4 linked regions of the Nothobranchius furzeri genome follow. The protein of the gene in region 3 purifies or fractionates together with the protein of the main gene of each other region. This does not show direct contact. Links are inferred from orthologs where the notes say so. Each region holds a gene or a part of one and is shown on either strand. Other genes may lie near its edges.

What was found.
Region 1: the proteins of slbp (region 3) and upf1 purify together in Homo sapiens (affinity purification with western blotting; 4 studies listed by BioGRID and IntAct, with this or other methods). This does not show direct contact. The link is inferred for Nothobranchius furzeri from reciprocal best matches to the Homo sapiens genes SLBP and UPF1.
Region 2: the proteins of slbp (region 3) and ctif purify together in Homo sapiens (affinity purification with western blotting; 3 studies listed by BioGRID). This does not show direct contact. The link is inferred for Nothobranchius furzeri from reciprocal best matches to the Homo sapiens genes SLBP and CTIF.
Region 4: the proteins of slbp (region 3) and mif4gdb purify together in Homo sapiens (affinity purification with western blotting; 3 studies listed by BioGRID and IntAct, with this or other methods). This does not show direct contact. The link is inferred for Nothobranchius furzeri from reciprocal best matches to the Homo sapiens genes SLBP and MIF4GD.

What each region holds. Positions count from the first base shown.
Region 1 is NC_091748.1:65,883,027-65,887,704, forward strand, and holds the start of upf1 (regulator of nonsense transcripts 1), read left to right. Parts: upstream 1-1,415; 5' UTR 1,416-1,641; coding exon 1,642-1,812; intron 1,813-2,151; coding exon 2,152-2,294; intron 2,295-3,283; coding exon 3,284-3,373; intron 3,374-3,456; coding exon 3,457-3,624; intron 3,625-4,678. UniProt on the Homo sapiens protein: RNA-dependent helicase required for nonsense-mediated decay (NMD) of aberrant mRNAs containing premature stop codons and modulates the expression level of normal mRNAs.
Region 2 is NC_091746.1:58,107,197-58,112,200, forward strand, and holds the start of ctif (CBP80/20-dependent translation initiation factor), read left to right. Parts: upstream 1-1,741; 5' UTR 1,742-1,868; intron 1,869-3,117; 5' UTR 3,118-3,193; coding exon 3,194-3,196; intron 3,197-5,004. UniProt on the Homo sapiens protein: Specifically required for the pioneer round of mRNA translation mediated by the cap-binding complex (CBC), that takes place during or right after mRNA export via the nuclear pore complex (NPC).
Region 3 is NC_091741.1:108,902,934-108,907,898, reverse strand, and holds the start of slbp (histone RNA hairpin-binding protein), read right to left. Parts: upstream 3,040-4,965; 5' UTR 2,903-3,039; coding exon 2,844-2,902; intron 1,299-2,843; coding exon 1,194-1,298; intron 1,101-1,193; coding exon 987-1,100; intron 917-986; coding exon 845-916; intron 207-844; coding exon 84-206; intron 1-83. UniProt on the Homo sapiens protein: RNA-binding protein involved in the histone pre-mRNA processing.
Region 4 is NC_091752.1:54,309,993-54,314,827, forward strand, and holds the start of mif4gdb (MIF4G domain-containing protein B), read right to left. Parts: upstream 3,264-4,835; 5' UTR 3,164-3,263; intron 3,074-3,163; exon of another isoform or gene 2,983-3,073; intron 2,975-2,982; exon of another isoform or gene 2,938-2,974; intron 2,454-2,937; 5' UTR 2,413-2,453; coding exon 2,334-2,412; intron 2,211-2,333; coding exon 2,101-2,210; intron 2,013-2,100; coding exon 1,857-2,012; intron 1-1,856. Other genes in the region: slc25a19 (mitochondrial thiamine pyrophosphate carrier), read left to right, coding at 3,765-3,896, 4,100-4,255, 4,352-4,522, 4,679-4,835. UniProt on the Homo sapiens protein: Functions in replication-dependent translation of histone mRNAs which differ from other eukaryotic mRNAs in that they do not end with a poly-A tail but a stem-loop. May participate in circularizing those mRNAs specifically enhancing their translation.

The DNA of each region.
Region 1 (4,678 bases), on a different chromosome or scaffold from region 3:
TTTTAAATGTTCCCCGTGCAAGCGTTGAGAATGGTGAATGATCATGATTGAGTTTTATTGCTGGTCAGGTCCCTGCTTATTTTAAGAATGCTGTAATCCACCCGCTTCTTAAAAAACAAGTCTTGACCCTTTTAGTACTTTGCTGTTTTTCATTTTTACTTGTTTGTTTAATTGGTTATTTGCATTTTTAACTTAACGAGGAGTGTTTTAACAAGTATTATGCAATAGCTGTTAAAGTGACCTTGAGAGTCCTGAAAGGCGCTAACGAATAAAATGTATTATTTTTCTCTCCATAGCAGCTTCAGACCCATCTCTAAACTTCTGTTCATCTCCAAGATCTTGGAAAAGGTTGTGGCTAAACAACTAACAGCTGATCTTGAACATAACATCTATGATAGTTTCCAGTCAGGTTTTCGTAGAACTCATTCCACTGAAAAAGCTCTTCTTAGGGTCTCCAATGACCTTCTGATTCACAGTGATGCTGGGGACTGTTCTGCTCTGGTCCTGCTGGACCTGACTGCAGCCTTTGACACTGTTGACCATCACCTGCTTGCTACTGGAGAGGCTGAGAGACTGCATAGGCCTGTCAGGAACTGAGTGTAGTGGTTCTACTCTCATCTGTCTGAGCGTTCTTTCTCTGTGGTCATCTGCAAGTTTTGGTCCAACACCTCCCTCATCGATGGCATCCCACAAGGTTCTGTGCTGGGGCCTCTACTGTTCATTCTCTTTCTGCTTCCTCTTCAGCACATCCTGAGCTCCTTTAATGAAATCTCCTACCATCTTTACACAGATGACATCCAACTGTACATCTCCTTTAAGCCCCATGAGATGTCTAAGCTGTTACACACCTGCTTACACTATCAAAACCTGGATGGCTGGAAACTTTCTAAAGCTGAATGTAGATAAGACTGAGATCCTCATCTGTGCTCCAGACAAGCTGGTTCCCAAAGTCAGAGACTCTCTTGGTCAGCTTGCTTCTCACACCAAACCCTCTGTCAGGAATCATGGTGTGACCTTTGACCCAGCTCTCACCCTGGATTCTCATGTCAGTTCTCTCTTTTCTACTTCTGATGATGGTGATGACTTCCTAAAAAGGCTCATTGTAAAGTTACAAATTAGTGGTAAAACTTAAGTCTCTAGTTGAACAGAACTGATGAATACTATCAACATCTACCTAAGTGCCCCTGGACTGAACTGAATCAAATTTATCTCAGTTTGAGATTAGGGCATATTTTAAGGTTTTGTAGTAGTTGTGTATAGTTTCAAAGCTCTCTGAAAACCTAAAACTAACACTAAAATCATTTTGTGTCCCAAATATTGAAGAATTAATTGAGAAATGTATATTGATTTGAAATCAGTAAAAAGAAAAACAGAGTGAGCCCTCTTTCCTTTTGACCCATCTGTGCCGTCCAGCCCCTCCCAGTGGCGTCACGCGTCGCGCGGCGCAGGGAAGTCCGTCACCGCTGCTGGCTGTTGGACCTGCAGTAGCTTTTGATCGGTTCCATTTTTTTGTTTGAGTTGACATTTGTTGTCTCTGCGACGCGCTCAAGAATATACATCGACAAAATAAATTCTGTGGATCTTGGTCGTCTTTGTACAGCATCGGAAATCGTTGAGTAAAACGAAAGAAAAGAGTCGAAGATGAGTGTGGAGGCGTACGGGCCGAGCTCCCAGACCCTCACCTTCCTGGACACCGAGGAAGCCGAGCTCATCGGAGCCGACACACAGGGCTCCGAGTATGACTTCACCGACTTCACGCTTCCTAGCCAGACCCAAACTCAAGGCCAAACGCAGAGCCAGCTGGACAGCCAGGTTAGACGCTTTTCAATCTTTCCAGTATGCACGGTAATGGTGTTAGCAGCAGTTAGCTTCCAGTTAGCCCGCTTTTATTAAATTTAGCCCGACTTAGCTTCGTGTTAGCTGGTTTTAGGACATCGTTAAATAAACAGTTAAAGCCACTAGTAATCTCAACACATTTCTTTCGAACCCTACATTCAAACCAGACTCTGCGATTCACAAAAACGGGATTTGTAAACAGTAGCATTCTGTCAACATGTCGCTAACTGGCTTTTCCGCACTGTGTGCCTTAGCCGTTAGCTGCTGTTCGTTAGCATCGAGTGTGTTTTGGTTAAGACTGTTTTTGCGCTGCAGGTGAATGGTCCAGATGAAGGTCTTCATAACGGAGGGGTTGATGACTCTGTGGCCAAAACCAGCCAGTTGTTGGGAGAGCTGAACTTTGAAGAGGATGAAGAAGACACTTATTACACCAAAGACCTTCCTGTACACGCATGCAGGTACTGTGACAGAATGCATCACAGAAAGCCACACGTGCATCTCAAGTGCAGCATTTTCCTAAGTGTGTTTTTATTTCTTCTGTAGTAACCTTTAACTTTGTTTACGGTGCTGTTAAAATAATTTTTGTCTGTTTTTTTACAGGATTAAGCGTTTGGTTAAACACTGAAAAACAACAAAACAATTTCAAATACTATTATAAATCTATGATCAGTGCATGTAAAGAGTTAAAAAATAAACAACAACAAAATTCACAGCCATTTTATTAGGTGTCAGATCATATTTAAAGTTATTTTCAGACTCCTGTTTTGCTTGTAATCGATCAGCAATACATTTCCTTTAAGTTAATTTGTGTTATAAAACACTAACATAAAAACGGAAAATCAAATCACTTTTATTGTCACGTCACATGTGCAGGTACACTTGTACAGTTCATGAGAGTGAAATTCTCGTGTGCGAGCTTCACAGCAACAGAGTTGTACAAAAATACCATAACGTAAAAACAAGCAAAATATAAAAATGGCTAATCTAAGTAATAATATGTATAGTATGTAAGGTATATACATTACTAAATGTGTGTGCTAGTATCTTTTTTTCTACGTGTGTGAGTGTGTGTATAATGTGTATATACATGTTTTACAAATGAACAAAGTAAACAATAAGATAAGAGATATAAAATATACAGTGGTTGGTATGTGCAAAACTGTGGCATTAATGTACAGTATGGAGTGTGTAAAATGGAAACATGCTTGTGTTAAAAAAAGATGCTTAACTGTTGCTGACTTTTTTTAAATTATACAGACATTTTTATAAATATATCTAAAACCTTTCTGGTTTCAACGTGTGATTACTCATGTTTCTAAGAAAAGAGCAAGGAAAGTTAAGTTTACTAGTGAATCTATTAAATTATTCTATATTTTCTATTTTCCAACTTCTGATGCGTTATATGTTCTAATCACTGAAATATTTGAAATGCCATTTGATTTTGCAGCTATTGTGGTATCCATGACCCAGCCTGTGTTGTGTACTGTAACACCAGCAAGAAGTGGTTCTGTAATGGCCGTGGCAACACATCTGGAAGGTTTATAATTTGGCAGTTATAATTTTTTTAAACTTTTTTGATTATGGTTACCCGTTGTTTCATTGTACATTTATGACTTCCAGCCACATTGTGAACCACATGGTGAGGGCCAAATGCAAAGAGGTTACGCTGCATAAAGATGGACCTCTGGGTGAAACCGTGCTGGAGTGTTACAATTGTGGCTGCCGCAATGTTTTCCTCTTGGGCTTTATCCCAGCCAAAGCTGACTCCGTGGTGGTGCTACTCTGCAGGTAAGTGGATGGAAGGTGTTTGTCAATCCTAGCTGGTTGTTGTATAGCAAAAAAGTCAAAGTTTTTCCTGCTAAAGTTGTACTGTACTAAACATTTGAGAGTATATTTATTAGGAATGGTCTGATTGATTGGTAACTGATCAAATTGTTTCAATCTCCATGAAAAACATGTGATCTGCAAATTCCGATCAATGCCTCTCAGAGCCAATCATACCAAACAATCACCTGTTGCTCATACTTTGTAGCCGACAGAGACCTTGTGTGCGGCATTATGTGTTTCTCCCCCCTTCCTTCACACTGTGCATGCATGCAGTAGCAAAAGTGTACACAAACATTTCTACTGAACTTTTAGTCCATCTGTGAGAAGGATGTAAACCTGCGGGGGTAGTAGCTCGTTAAAATGCATCAATCCAGCAAATTTGAAAGAACAAACTCTGGGCAAAGTGAGCTGAGTTTTCATTACTCCCTGCAGAAATAAAAAGACACTCAGAGCAACAGACATAACTGCATTCACCAAAACTCGTCTGTATGAGAGTGACCGTCAGAAGGTTGAACAACTAACTTGGAAAAATATAAGAAGAAACAGGGCTTTTCCTGGCTCAAATTGAGGCAGAGCTGGTACCATCCTGACCATGTGCCAGCACATGCATACTCTGTGCATTCAACTGCCTCACTTTTTTAAAGGCAAAATATTTTTTCATTAAGTGTTCTTATCTAAGCTTCTATTGATTAATTGAATATTCCATTTGACAATGTTTCAAGTGAAACAAAACTGGTTTGCTGCTAAAAAATATGAAATAAAACAACAAAATTATCAGGCTGAAATAACAGACTTTTATTATGAAAGGCTCAATAATATGCATTAGATTGGTGTTTAGTTCCCTTTTCCCCGTCTGATATTTATAGTTAAAAATATTTTTAAATATTTGATCTACATTTCAGTAACATTTTAGGTTTGTGTTAATAACACTCATCTTATTATAAAAACACAAATATATCCAGTAAAATATTATGCATTTCATTAACATGCATTTGTATTGGAAATGGTAATAACA
Region 2 (5,004 bases), on a different chromosome or scaffold from region 3:
AAACTTGATTGTCATCAAATAGCTTTTACCTTTTTATAATGATGCTAATATAATATCCATTCTGTATTTGGAAATGTTGCTTGGTCATAAAAGAAGGTAGAAGAGAATCGCATACGTTCTGCAGTTCCACTTTTGTCCACAAGAGGTCCTACGTTCACAGAAGGGGTGTCAGGTCAGACCATCGACATCAGACTGAAGGGAAATATTTTTGGTCTAATGTGACACTTTATTTTAAAATGCCACATCAGATCTTCATGATCTTTGGGGAGGATGTAGTACTTGATGTGTACGTTAAGACTGAGGTGGAATGATGTTGTGGAATCAGACATTTAAAAAAAATTCACCATTGAATATAATCAAAATTGTTTTTATAGCCAAATTTGATTGCACTTTATTTTGAAATGCCACATCAGATCTTTTTTAACTTTGGGGAGGATGTAGTACTCGAAGTGTACTTTATGACTGAGGTGGAATGATGTTGCAGAAACAGACAGTTTTTGACAAACTAACCATTGAATTGTTGAAATTGTTTATTTGTTTTGGCAAAATTTAACTGCACTTTATTTTGAAATGCCACATCATATCTTTTTGAAATTCGGAGAAGATTTAGTACTTGTTGTATACTTTAAGAGTGTGGTCGAATGATGTTGCGGAATCAGACAGTTTTTGAGAAATTTACCATTGAATTTAGTCTAAATTGCTTTTATGGTCAAATCTGATTGCACTTTATTTTAAAATGCCACATAAGATCTTCATGAACCTTAGGGAGGATGTAGTACCTGATGTGTACTTTAAGACTGAGGTGAAATAATATTGCAGAATCGAACATTTTTTTAAAGAAATTAACCAATGAATATAGTCAAAATAGTTTTTATATCTATCTAGTACTTGATGTGTTCTGTAATACTGAAGTGGAATGATGTTGTGGAATCAGACAGACTTTGAGAAAGAAACCATTGAATATAGTGAAACTATTTAGAAATGCCACATCAGATCAGGATGAATGGGACGGGATGTATAAGAATAGCAAAGTAACCTACACAAATGTGTTCTTTTAATTTAAAGTATTTTTAAATAACTAAAATCATAAAAAATGCAGTTTATGTTGCACACAATTTTACACAAAAAAGGGTTAAATCGTGTTCATTCTTTTAATTAAAGGTCTTTTTAATAGATCATATCATTTAAAACGCTGTGTTATATTGCACTCATTTTTACAAAAAAAAAAAACGATTAACTCCTGTTTATTCTTTTAATTTAAAGTTTTTAAAATAAATAAAATCATTTCAAACGCAGTTTTATCTTGCACACAATTTTACAAAAGAAAAGTTTTTAATCGTTTTCAGTCTTAAAAGTGTTTTTTTAATAGATAAAATAATTTTAAACGCAGTTTTAGCTTGCACACAAATAAAAAAATGTTTTCATTGTTTTCTGTCTTGTGTTTTTTAATAGATAAAATCATTTAAAACGCAGTTTTATCTTAAGACACAATTTTACACAAACTTAGAAAGTGTCCATCAGCACGTTCAGACCAGACACATGTCCTATAAGTGCGCTTTTATTTTGAAAGTCACTCTCGACCGAAGACACCGTAGATCTCTTGTAGTCATGTAAAAATCGAAGGAGGTCTGGCTTGACGACATTTCCCAGAGTGCCGTGCGTCTTGCTGCACGTGTCACCGCTGCCAGCAGACCGGGACTGAACGTCACATTCCTGCATTCCCCTTTCACTGCGTGAGAGATGTTGGAGTTACCAGCACACAGCTAATCCTCTTTCCCCGCTTGTTTTTGACAAACGCACCCATGACACGGCGGATTTGATCTCAGGGGGTGACCCCAGCTTCTCTGGAAGTCAGAATCTCGCTTTGGGTAAGGATTTATCCCATTTTACGTCGGTTAAAGAGGTATTTCTTCTGGTGTTTTCCAACCGCTGCAACTGTTTTATAAGGGCTGCATTCACCGCACGCTGCTTTTGTGGATGAGTTTGTTGCCCTTTTGTCTGTTGTGGTGCACCTGTTGGTGTTTCATTGTTGACTCAGTGGGGTTTGAGTCCAAAATGTATGGCCTGTGGTTAATTGTTGTTGTACTTAATGGCTAGCGTAAGCTAGCCGGATGGTTAGCCGCAGAGCTTGCGTCACCGTTGTGTTACCGGTGATACTCGAGCAGACACATCAGTGCGTGGAGGTGTCTCCAGATGTGGTTTTAGTATAATTAAAGGGACAACTATTGTGTTGTGGTTTTGATCACGGGCGTCCTGTCAGGAAGCAGCAGCGCTCGGCTACAACCCATAGCAAATGGGTGTGGTTAAACGTTCTAAACAAACCTGTGGTTAACGTAAAGATCACTCACACGTCAGAGAGATGTGCTATTTCAGTTTCACTCACGTTTGGTTGTACCAACTTAACAGGAATTATGTCTTCTTCGTTAGCTGTCCTGTAAAGGAGCGGAGCTAGCTACGGATCGGCAGACTGCCTCCGCTCAGCTGTTGACTCTCACAACAAAGAGATCGCAGCTGCTACTGTAGGACATGGAGGCATCCATGACAGATATTCAAAATAAGAGGTGGAGCAGATCATCTGGTTGGATATGTATTGGTCAGTTAGTTCTTTAGATTCCACTCAAGCTCAGTTTATCCACAACATTCCTGGAATTTCTGCTGTTCAGAGACTCATTACATCAGACTTGGTTCTTTTTTTAACACAGAGAAGGGTTGTTTTACCTTCTTTTTTGTTAAATGCGGTTAGAAGAAACACAGAATGAACGCACAAAAGATACATCAGACGGACTTTATTAATTTAAAGGAATGTTTGCATGCTGTCTCATTAGAATGAGATTTGTTCCACAAACAGTACTTAACTTGTTTAAACAGAACAAATAAAATTCTTCTGAAAGCAAAAACTGTTATGCTTTTAAAAATCTGTCTGGTGTGTAAGTTTTATTCAATATGAAGTGAAAATGGAACTTCAGCTTGAGGCTAAATTTAATCTAAAAGTCTTTCAGTTGGTAAATCAGGTTCAGCCAGAAGAGTAAGTTAGAAAATAAGGTACATACTCATGATTTACAACACAGTAAAAGCAAATGTTCTATCCAAACAACTCTTGTTTTAATTTGTTTCCAGTTTGGTGAGTTTGAACTGAGTCAAGAAAATCACCCCCCACACCATTACGCTACGAGTGGCCTGTAACTGTCAAGGCATGGTGGGTAGGATAGGTTCATTTGACTTTTGAATCAATACGGTACCAATGCCCGATACCTAGGAATCGATACCGGTACCAATGTCTGATACTTTTGAGTGTTTAATAATTAAATAAAACTCTTTTTTATTTTAATATATATTTTCCCTTAATTTATAACTATTTTTGATATATTTTATCATGATAAATATAACATGCAACTTTTTGTATTTTGTCATCATAGTGTTGTACAAAATTTTTCAAAATGAAAACCTTTAACTACAACTGTTTCTAAATGATCTAAACATTATACCCAGCTCCATGTACTCCTACTCCTCTTTTATGCCATCTGGAATAACTATGATGAGGAGACCAGGTATTATAGACTACAAATGAAATTAAAACAAACTTTTATACCATACAACTGTTTGTATTTTAATATTGTGATGTTTCACAAACTAAAACCCAGCTCCGTGTACTCTCATTCCTCTTCTTTCCTCAATGGACAAATTGTGTGATGGGTGGGTCCTTGTAGTACTAACTAAATTTACTGTGTGTCTTCATTTTATCTTTCTTTTTCAAACTGTTCATTTTTCATTAATGGATGCTAAAATATCAAGCTAACGTTAATGTAAACTGTTTATTTACCCATTGGAGCAGATTAAGACAATGATTCCTCACTTAGATCATTGTCAATGTCATCTAGGACCATTACTTTTTCTTTTGTACGTTAACGATATTGCTATGGTTTCTAAATTATTCAGGTTTATACTATTTGCAGATGACACTACATTATTTTATTCAGTAGAAAATTCAAACGTTATGTTAGATGTAGTTGAAAATGAGTTTACAAAAATCAAAAAATGGTTTAATATCAATAGGCTTTCTGTAAACATTGATAAAACTAAGTCAATAGTTTTTTTATAGTAGCAAAAACAGTGCTGATGCATCATTATATGTTGAAGGAATTGAGATAGAAAGAGTAAGAGAAGGAAAGTTTTTAGGTGTTATGATTGACGAACATTTGTCCTGGAAGTCTTACATAAATGCTATTCAAATTAAAATATCTCGAAATTTTGCAGTACTAAATAAGACGAAGGAATTGTTGAACAAAAAAGCTTTGTATATTCTGTGTAACTCGTTAATTCTTCCATATCTGACATATTGTATTGTATTTACACAATAGAGCAGTGAGAGTTATTAGTGGAAGTGGATGTAGGGATCATACGGATCCGATGTTTTCACAGCTAGACCTAATGGAATTTGACAAATTAGTAGAATATCATTTATTGAAACTTATGTACAAAGCACATAAAGAAGTCCTATCAATAAATATTCAAAAGAGATTTGTAAAACGATAAAGTAATTATATTTTTAAAGTAAATTATAGTTTAAAAAAAAAAACAAGATTCCGAACAGTGATAATGGAAATATGTATTTCAGTTTAAAGTGTCGGTTTATGGAATAGTCTCAACAGTGAAATAAAACAATCTAAAACATTTCCTGTATTTAAAAAAAGTGTCAAACGTATCTTGATGAAATAATAAGATCTTAAGTAGGCTGATAGACTTGTGGTGGGGGGTAGGTGAATGACAGTCTTCGAGTTGAACAGCTAATGTCTGATGTGTAAAGGGGGCAGATATTGTAAGTTTTTGCTTCTTTCTGCTCCTTTTCATTTATGATTATTTGTGAACGCGGATTGTTTTAATGTAAATTTTGTTTGATTGCATGAAATGAAATAAAAAATGGAAATGGAAAAAAATATTGTCATCATCACCCAGTCACCCATCGCATTTAGTGAAGTGGACCCAAACTTTAGAGCTACTTGCTCT
Region 3 (4,965 bases):
ACTCGTGACTCAAAATTGTGATCAGAACATCCCTACTCTACACCTGGGTTCCGGTTTTGCTATCGGTTCTGGGTGTGACCTACTTTGGGACCTCCTTGATGTATCTGTCGTAGGCCAGCGTGTTCTTGCCGTAGCTGATCTGTTTCTGTCGTCGCAGCAGAACGGATTCATCAGTCTCCATGTTCTCACCCTCTCTGGAGTCACAGCTGCACAACAAACAGAACACACACCTTTACTCGCCTCCTCTCGTTGGCTGGAAGAACCTTCTACGAACAGGTGAGACTTCATGAGCTTATGGCTACTAGCAGGGTATGTGCAGGTTTAAGGGAGCCAATTTAAGACTTTTTAAGACCTTTTTTCAGGCCACTTTGACCAAATTTAAGCTATTTTTAAAATTAAATTTAAGCTATAATTTCCAGCTATTGCCTGGAACCGGTGCTAACCACGTCGTGAACGTGGGATTAGCCATCCATTTACCATTAAACTTGCACTTCCCCATGGCGCAAGCTCCCACTAGCTTAACCAGCTAATGTGCTCATCTAAAAATTGCCCCCTTTCCCAACCAACTGAATGTGTACGGTTCCGCTTATGCCAACATCGTACACAAAAAATGCTGAACACTAACTATAAATTCATGAAAATTTTTATAGAAATAAAATAATCTTGTTTATTGGGTCTTTGGTGATTTAAGACCTTTGGAAACTGGATTTAAGGATTATTTGTCATTTTTAAGGATTTTCAAGGCCGTAAATTTGGAAAAGCAAATTTAAGACTTTTTAAGGACCTGCGGATACCCTGACTAGAGACCACCTGGACTGCTGTTAAACAGAAGCATGGTGGTTACCTCCCAGAGGAGCCAGACGAGGCTCTCCTCTCCCTCTGAGTGACCTCTGGACCCAGTATCCTCCTCCTGTAACTGAAGAGTCGAGAACGTCAGCTCGGAGTTAACAGAAACCAGCTGGTGTTCAGCAGAAAGCTCGTCTTACCGCTGCATGTCTTTGTGCATGTCTCTCCTCATCTCCTCATCCTCCACCTGGCTGCCCCAGTCAGTCGGCCGACTACATCTCGACACTGGTCCAGAGCTCTCTGGGGTGGTGAAACTACAGAAGACACACACACACACCATTAAACCAGTGGCACCAATCAGAGATTTCACAAGAGCTGTGTCAGGAGGACCTGCGCCATGATCATACCTGGCATGTCTGCACCAGTCATCACCATCTTCATCACTGTTATTCCGCAAACTTCCATCAACTCCTCTTTTCCTACTGTGGGACCACCGGGATGGGCCGCTGCTCCTGGTACAAATATAAAAGAAGGCTAGAATATTACTAGTCAGTAGCGTTTAAGGGGACATCTGATGTAAGATGTTCTTTAAAGAGAGGTGCTGTTGATCAGTCGCAGGTTTCTGCTCCACTTCCTGTGGGCCTGCTGCAGAGCCCTTGTATCCAGAGCTCACAGCGTTGAGCGTTTCCATTCATAAAAATCAAAATGCTTATAGACCTGGGGACCGAAATGCGATTTCTTATAGTCGTAACGTCTGTGCAGCCACAGAGCTCCAGACTAAATGATATTTTGCTCTTACCTGTAAAAGAGTGGCCCAAGAGAGGCCTGAAACGGCTCATTCTGTAAGCTACTGCAAATGTCAAGAGACCAGGGCTAACTGCCAGAGGTGGAGCTGCAAGTGTCCTGCCCAAGGGCACAGCGGCAGATTGAGCAGGGCGCAAACCTGCAACTCTGCGGTTACAGGGTGAGCACCCTGTCCCTAAAGTGGACAGCTGTCTCAAACAAGACACTGTCTCTGGATGGGGTCTAACAAAGACAAATGGTGCCCACTGTGATGAGTACTTACAAGCAGCTGGTGTGTTCTGACCCTACATGTCGATGGTTCTGACCCAAAGGCTGGTAGCTCTAATCCCTGGACCAACCGGTCCTGGTTCGGGTTGGTACGACCCTTGCCCAGCCAGAAACGATCAGAGAATTGATCTAATGAGGAATAAACATAAAGCTGATCGGAGCGGGACTGCAGCACAGTTTAAAATAATCTCCCGCCATTTACTTCCTACTTCCGGTCGATCCATTGTGTGTTGGCGCGCGGTGGCGCGGAATTTTGGGTGAGCCACTAAAGTCCGACCCGACAAGGTTTAAACATCTTCCACTCGGTTCCCGGTGGGACGAGCCCGGGAAGAACATAAGGGTAGATGACCGTCTCTCCTGGTCTAACCGGGCTGATCAGAACCGAGCCAGAAACGGTGACACGTACAGATGTAACCCCCGTTCAAATATGTCCCCATGCAGCGGACTCTGGACTTTATTAAGTACACGTCCCGAGATTTTTATTCTTCAGAGACTTAATGTGACCACTCCAGAAGGAGAAATAATTCAAATCCACCCCGATTAGCTGAGGGGGGAAACGGCTTTCAACATGGAACAAAAGAGAGTGAGAACCCACAGAAAGCGAGAGGAGACAGCTCAAAGGTAACACTGACAACCAAACAGCCTCTGTCAGCAAAACGTTAGTCGTCTGACCAGTGAAACCAGGTGTTGCGTCGATGTGTTCCTCCTCGAGATGTTTCTTTTGCACCCAGCGGCGAGTGAGAACCATCCACTCGCAAAAAATGTGTCCTAAGCTACCCTAACCCTGAAACCAACATAAAAATTGTGCTACACGTAATATTTTCAAAAATTATATTTACGCAAACCATACATTTTTGGTGCCAGAGTGGTTATGGTTAGTGTTATTTCTTGTTATTGCGTCGTTTCCACTTGCAGCTGGGTGCAAAAGAAACTGATCGAGGGGGGAACACATATCGACGGCAGCAGGGAAAGCTAAACGCACTTACCTGCACTCCTCTTCTCCCACACGAGCTTCGCTCCGCTTCATCTTGTTCTTGTGAGACATCTTTTAGGGGTAAATGAACCAAACGCGACTCTGTTGGCTCACCTAAATCCGTGAATGTTGACGGTAGCGACAGAAAACCGCCAACTGAGACAGAAAGCGCGACCACAAACAAGCCAGCCAGTCACGTGACTCCTCCTCCTTCTTCTTTTCCCGGTTCTTCTTCCCGAACCCTACCGCCACCTTCTGGAATGAGCTGGTGGTGCAGCTCTTTATTTTTGACCAAAACTTGGATCAAAAACAGAATAAAAAGAGTAAAAATGCTCATAAAAAGAATAGAAGCGATGCTAAGAAATAAATGCCTAACATGAGAATTTCATTTTTGATGTTTTCATTTTTACATGTTATATAACAGTTTCTCAATGAGTATTTACAGTAAAAATAGATGATCGGGTGGATCTGACAGTGCGCGCAGGAATTGGAAATTGTGTCAAATGTGTGAATCAAAAAATCACGACATGGGTGAATGTCATTACAAGTGGAGTGGAACAGAAAGGGACTCCGTTTTGACAGTTTTTATGAATGTAAGCATATTCTTTAAACAAATACCTTCTTCTTAAAACTGGGAAACATAATGAAGTCAGTGTTCGTCATGAATTTAGTACATACCTGCACCCACTGAACTTACACCCCAAGGCCCTGTGTGTGTGTGTGTGTGTGTGGGGGGGGGGGTGATGTGATGTGATGGAGCAGGCAGAGGGAAATGTCTGAGGATGGGGAGGAAAGACTGGGGAGCCTGAGCCCTGCCCTGTCCTCCGCTGGCCCCACAAGGCACCCCATTCTCAAAGCCCACCTGGGGCCAGGAGACCCCAGCCCATCTAGCCAGGGCCCACAAAAGCTGCATCACAGAGCCCCACGGAGCCCCAGGTCCCAACTCAGCTCCACCCCCGCCTTTGATCAACTTCCAGACTACATAAAACATCAGAAACCCAGGCACAGTTGGATCCTTCCCCTCTCAGAGATCCCCTCCCCCACGATGGAGTAGAAGTGTTCCTGCTAGTTAAGGAGATACCATGTCCCAAGGGCCCCGGGCCAGGGCCAGACACTGCCACATGCACTCGCCCAGCCCGGTCCCCCATCCAGGTACGATCATCCCCAGGACCCAAGCCACCAGACCCTCATCCAGACCTACCCAGGAGAGACACGACTATCAGGCAGTGATGAAGTGCTCTCCAATCAACTCTTCCCTGTGAAGATAAGATCTTGGAAGGTTGAAGTTGGTTCCAATCAAGCTGCAGACTGGATCAGGGACCAAAAACCAACAGAAATTTAACTGTTCTGACCCTAACCCCAACCCTAGCACAGAGTCTCCATATTTGGACTGAACCTGGTCGAGTTTATTTAGGTGAATGACTTTAAGGCTAAATTATAAGTTTCGAATATTTAATTGTCTAAGGACAGAACCATTCAGATGCTTGTGAGAGAAGGAAGGTGATGTTTAAAAACAGGTTTGATCCCTAAGGCCTTGTTCCCTGAGCAAACTCCACATTAAACCTCTATTTAAAAATCATTACTGCTAATCATGTCAGTCCCTAATATAGAAACGGGTCATTCACGTGTGAAAGTGAGTCACTGAAGCCAAGCTCCCTGAAACAAAGACTTTTTCTGCCAACCCTCGGAATTATGGATTTAAAGGTTTTTCTATCGTCTCTCCCACACAACAGTCTGCAGTTTCTCACCAGTGTTATAAAAATGGTTTTTGACCTATTATAAAATACCCATTTCTTTTTTATGCAAGAGCAATTTATTTTAAATTCAGGTAAAAACTGTCTTTACTTCTGTAAAAACATCCGTTACTGTCAAACATCCTTTTATTTGTCTCGTTCTGACTTCGCTCTGCTTTCCCCTTTCTGATCATTTTAACACAACTCAGCCCACTTTTCTAACGTTTCCATAGCAACCAGGATGTGAGGATGAATGTATCTTCTTACTGTGTCAGGATGGACAGTCCTGACTTCTGCAGTCACTCTGATAGACAACCCTGCTCATCAGTGGTCTGCAGTACTGGTTATTGTTGTTTCATTACTGAATTCCCTAAAGTTACTAATGATAAAGTGTAATATTGA
Region 4 (4,835 bases), on a different chromosome or scaffold from region 3:
CAGCAATCACAATATTACACCCCCTTTAAATAAATATCTTCTTTACTCACCACTTAGAAGAGCTGCAGTCGGCGCCTCCCGGAATTGAAACTCCTCATTACTGCTTCCTTCCATTCAGTGACAAATCTTTTAGTTAAGTTTCTTTCATAGGCCAGCTGCACTAAATGTGCATTTCGTTGGTGTAGCATGCTAAGTCTGTTGTCTGTGAGAACACTTTTTAAAGTAGAAAAGTTTGGGAGAGCGGGTTTGGGAGAGCCCACTGCAGCTGGGATTAGCGCTAAAATCTTCATGCTCCGGCTCCACTGGGGGAAGCTGTGCCTCAGTCTTGCTACGGCTAGTTAGCTTCGGCTGCTCACCTAACTTCTTCTCTGCTGCGGCAATATGACACTCCTGCTAAGCTGTCGCTCGTGCAGTTTCAGTTTTACCTTGTAGTTGGTGGTGATTGGAAGAATTTCCTTATATCCATCGTTTGTGTCGTTAAATTCGTTTACCGTGATATTCGTTTACCGTGATATCCGTTTCCTAGCGTAAACAGACGTCGGTGCGTTACTTGCGGCACCACGCACGCATGCATCACATGACACAAGCCGAGACGTCTCTTAAAATATTTATTTTGTATTTTGAATTTTATTGGTTTCCCTTAGCTGAATATGAATTCATACAATCTGTGACTCCTCCCCAAAAAAAATTAACTGAAAAAAATAATTAAATTATAATAACATTACCGCTCTGATAGCCAATGGGGGGGCATGGAGGTACGGGTGGGGGGGGGGGGGGGCAATGCCCCTCAAATTGACCCCCTGACGCCGGGGCTGCTTCCCCATTTTGCTTCCACCATCTTCTCCTTGAATTGGCGAAATACGTCACATACACGGTGGCCAAAGTCACGTGGAACGGAAATGCACGAAAACGGCTGGCAGAGACCTAAAAATTGGTTTATTTTATTACCTTGTCACGTTTATTTTTAATATACAGACTTATTTTAAATACACATCAATACTCACCGAATTTAAGACTTCACTTAATGAATTTAAGACTTTTTAAGGGTCTTAATTTGCCTAAATTAAATTCAAGACTTTTCAAGACTTTCCAAGACCCGCGGATACCCTGAACAAGAACATCAGATTCCCTTTCATCCCTGGCAACAAGTGAAGAGGTAAATGTGTAAAACAACAAAGTTTATTAATGCTGAAAGTTTAGTAACCATTTGTTACAAATCAGTAAATACACTCTGTCCTCACGGGCTTCCGTAGAAGGAAACATGGCATCCAATATGGCGTCGCCTAGAGATTTAGACCCACTCCCGTGTATTTTAGACCTGATTTTTATGGTTAAATGCTATGAAACTGTCAATATTTTTCAACAACTTGGTATCTTTTAATTAATTTACAACATTTCAATGGGTATTTCCAGAGATTAATGGTAAAAATTACACATTGTCACTTTAATGTCTGTCATTGAGATCCACCTTGATGTCAGACAAATATTGCCATCATGTGGTTTAAGTCTGACACAGGTCAAAATCTGTACTAAATGCTCTGGTTTGATTGACCTATGTGCGCAGTAATGTGTTATAGCCAGTTATGAATCTGGAAGTGAAACTGAAACAATACAGTGTCTTATTAGGCCTTCTGCTGGCTGGGAGTTTCGTTCAAAGTTCTAACTTACAGCAAGAAATCCAGGTCTCAAATTAATACAACCTTCTTCTTGGTTACTACAGCAATAAACAATATATTAAAGGCTTTACTTACGAAGAAAAGTACTTTTGCAGAAATGATCCAGAGTAATTTAACAATTCATATATTTAAAATATCTTCATATCATGGACAAAACTTCAATTTGTCTCTGTCTCTTACCTTGAGGTAGTCAAAGATGTTACAGATGAAGGTGACGTAGCACACCCACTCCTGCAGAGAGCGTGTTCTTGTTTCTTCACGTACTTTAAACTCTTGCTGTAGTCGGTTCAACAGGAGCCTCCTAAACACATTTCCGCTGCTTTGTTTGGCCTCAGCCTGGGCAAACAGGGAGAATCAGGACTAAACAGGAGGGTGGTGAGCAGGCAGAGGACTCAGAACAAAAGCACCACAACCACTGACTGACCTGCACAATAGTGTAACAAATACGTCCGGCCTCTTTGCTGAACACACAATCCTTTAGAGACTGCTCTACGATGACATTTGAGACCTTCTCCAGGTTCACCGAACTTGGATCTGAGGGCAAGAAAATGGCTTTTGTAATATATACGTTCATTTTTAACAACATTTAAATGAAGGAACTGAAAACGAATTATACAGTTTGAATAATTTACACAAAAGTTTAAAGAAAATTCTGACCTTTCAAGGCAGTTTTCAGTAATGTCTGCGTTTCCAAGTCAAAAGACTGGATTTTGTAGTCATCGGTGGAGTTTTCCATGTCAGATGGTGAAGAACAAGTTACACCTGGGAGATGTCACGCTGTGAAGGAAAGATCATCCATGTTCACTGTGCTTTTCAGAAGAACAACATGTAGCAAGTCTTTTATCAGACACGACGAGTCTTTTAAACAGAACTGAAACCGCGGAGTCATCAGACTGGCTGCTCCCTACAGCTCTTTGACTGCGGGATTGAGGGGATTTGGGCTAGCTCAGGTCAACAAACACCACCTATCACTCAAAAGTGTGCTTTCATTATGCCATGATAAAATTAAACTTGCTAGCCACATACAAGTCACGCATTCGGACCGAAACAATGCAATGCTATGCATGGGCGCTGTTTATTACTGGGTTTATAACGAAAAACAGGCGGATGCCAAATCAAAACAACATTTAACTTATTAACACTGTGCTAGCTCGTGTGGTTCGCGAGCTGCTTCCGTTAGGGAATACCTCCCGCCAAAACAATAAAAGCGATTAAATGTAAAAAAAATAAATAAATAAAATCAAACAGGTAGAAAACACACATCAGTTAATAAGCATGGAATGCAAGAATATGTGAGAAACTTTACCTATTCAAAATCATACCACTAGTCAAGCTACTTCCGTCTGAACCATTCAAAGAATAAATGTAAACACAAAGATAAGTTAACCTGCATTTCCTGTTACCACATAAAACACAACCGGGACTAATGAAACTATCCTAACAGATTTTCACGGTATCACCAATATTTGAGTGGTTTAAAATATCACCTGTAAATTCTGTAAAAAGAATAGTGTGTACGAATGAGGGTTAGAGATAGGTAATGGTGACAGGGCGGTGGTAGACCGGTTGTAGGTTTGTTGCATAGACTGTACATACTGGACAATTCGATTCCGGTTTGTTGTAAGGCAGTGACTCATCTTTCCCAATATTTAATCTTTGACAGACGGAGCATGCGCTGAGTGAACCGGCGGAAGTGGTTAGTACGTTGCGTTCAGGGTTACGCTGAGATCTGAAGCTGATGGATTTATCGTAGAGAAATTTGTTGAAGACAGAAATAGAAATGGAAGTTATATTCATGAAGACAGCTCTTTAGTAAAAGGTAAACATCTGTCAGCGTGTTGTTGTCGCTACAACAACGAAGGAACAGATGTTGTGTTGTTAGCTTAGCTTAGCACAATTCTTCTCCCTACTTGTCCGCAGACATGGTGCAAACTTTGATTAAAGCGTTGTGTTAAATGAATACATTGAGAGATATTGTTTGCAGATAACTGTGACATTTTAAAAACCACAGGATATTTAAAAAATAAAATTAGTCAAAAATGGAACTTTTGTTTGTGTCTTCAGTGTTGATAGGAGTGTTGTGGTGAGATGGTGGGTTATGATCCCAGGGCGCAGAATGCAGCTCCTACCCATTGGGAGGCAGCTATCGCTGGTTCAGCTGCTGGGCTGGCCACCAGAGCCATTATCAGTCCTTTTGATGTCATCAAAATAAGATTCCAGGTATTAATCTGTGTGAATTTTTTGTGTTGGATGAGCTGGATCCAACTATTAACAGATTATGCTCACTTTGAAAATTAGACTTATAATAAGAATGGTTAAGGTATGTAAGTCCAACAAAACGATGCATAAGGAATCATTTAATAACAGTGTGGATGGAAATCTACAAAGTTAGTTGCATAAGTCGAGTGTGTTTCCTCCCACAGCTGCAGATCGAGCGTGTGTCGTCACGTAGACCTGAGGGAAAGTACTGTGGAATCCTTCAGGCCTCACGCAGCGTTTACACAGAAGAAGGGCTTTCTGCTTTCTGGAAAGGCCACGTTCCAGCCCAGCTCCTCTCCATCTGCTACGGTGCTGTCCAGGTACAGCTTGTGGAATGAAAATCTGCATGTTGAGACAGTCAAATAAGCCCTCCTAATGGCTCATCCCTGAAATAACTGTTTTTTTGTGATTTGCAGTTTGTTAGTTTTGAGTTTCTGACTGAAGTTGTTCACAAATCGACAATCTACGACAGCCAGACACCAGGAGTTCACTTTGTCTGTGGCGGTTTGGCAGCCTGCTCGGCCGCGGTGGCCTGCCAGCCTCTGGACACGCTGAGGACACGCTTCGCTGCTCAGGGAGAACCCAAGGTGGGACAGCCATATTTTACTGTCTTCATTTAAACCATCCACCAACTTAATTCCAAAGTTTTATGTGATAACACAACCAAAAGAAAAATAAACATCCACACATAATTTAAATTAAATGATTTATTTGTAGAGGAATTTAAAATTTGTTTTATTTAGGTTTACAGGAACCTCCGTCATGCTGTTTCCACGATTTGGCGCTCCGAGGGAATTGTTACGCTTTACCGAGGCCTCTCTCCAACACTGGTGGCAGCGTTTCCTTACGCTGGACTGCAGTTCTTTTCCTATAACGTGTTTAAAAAGATGTTGGCTCCTT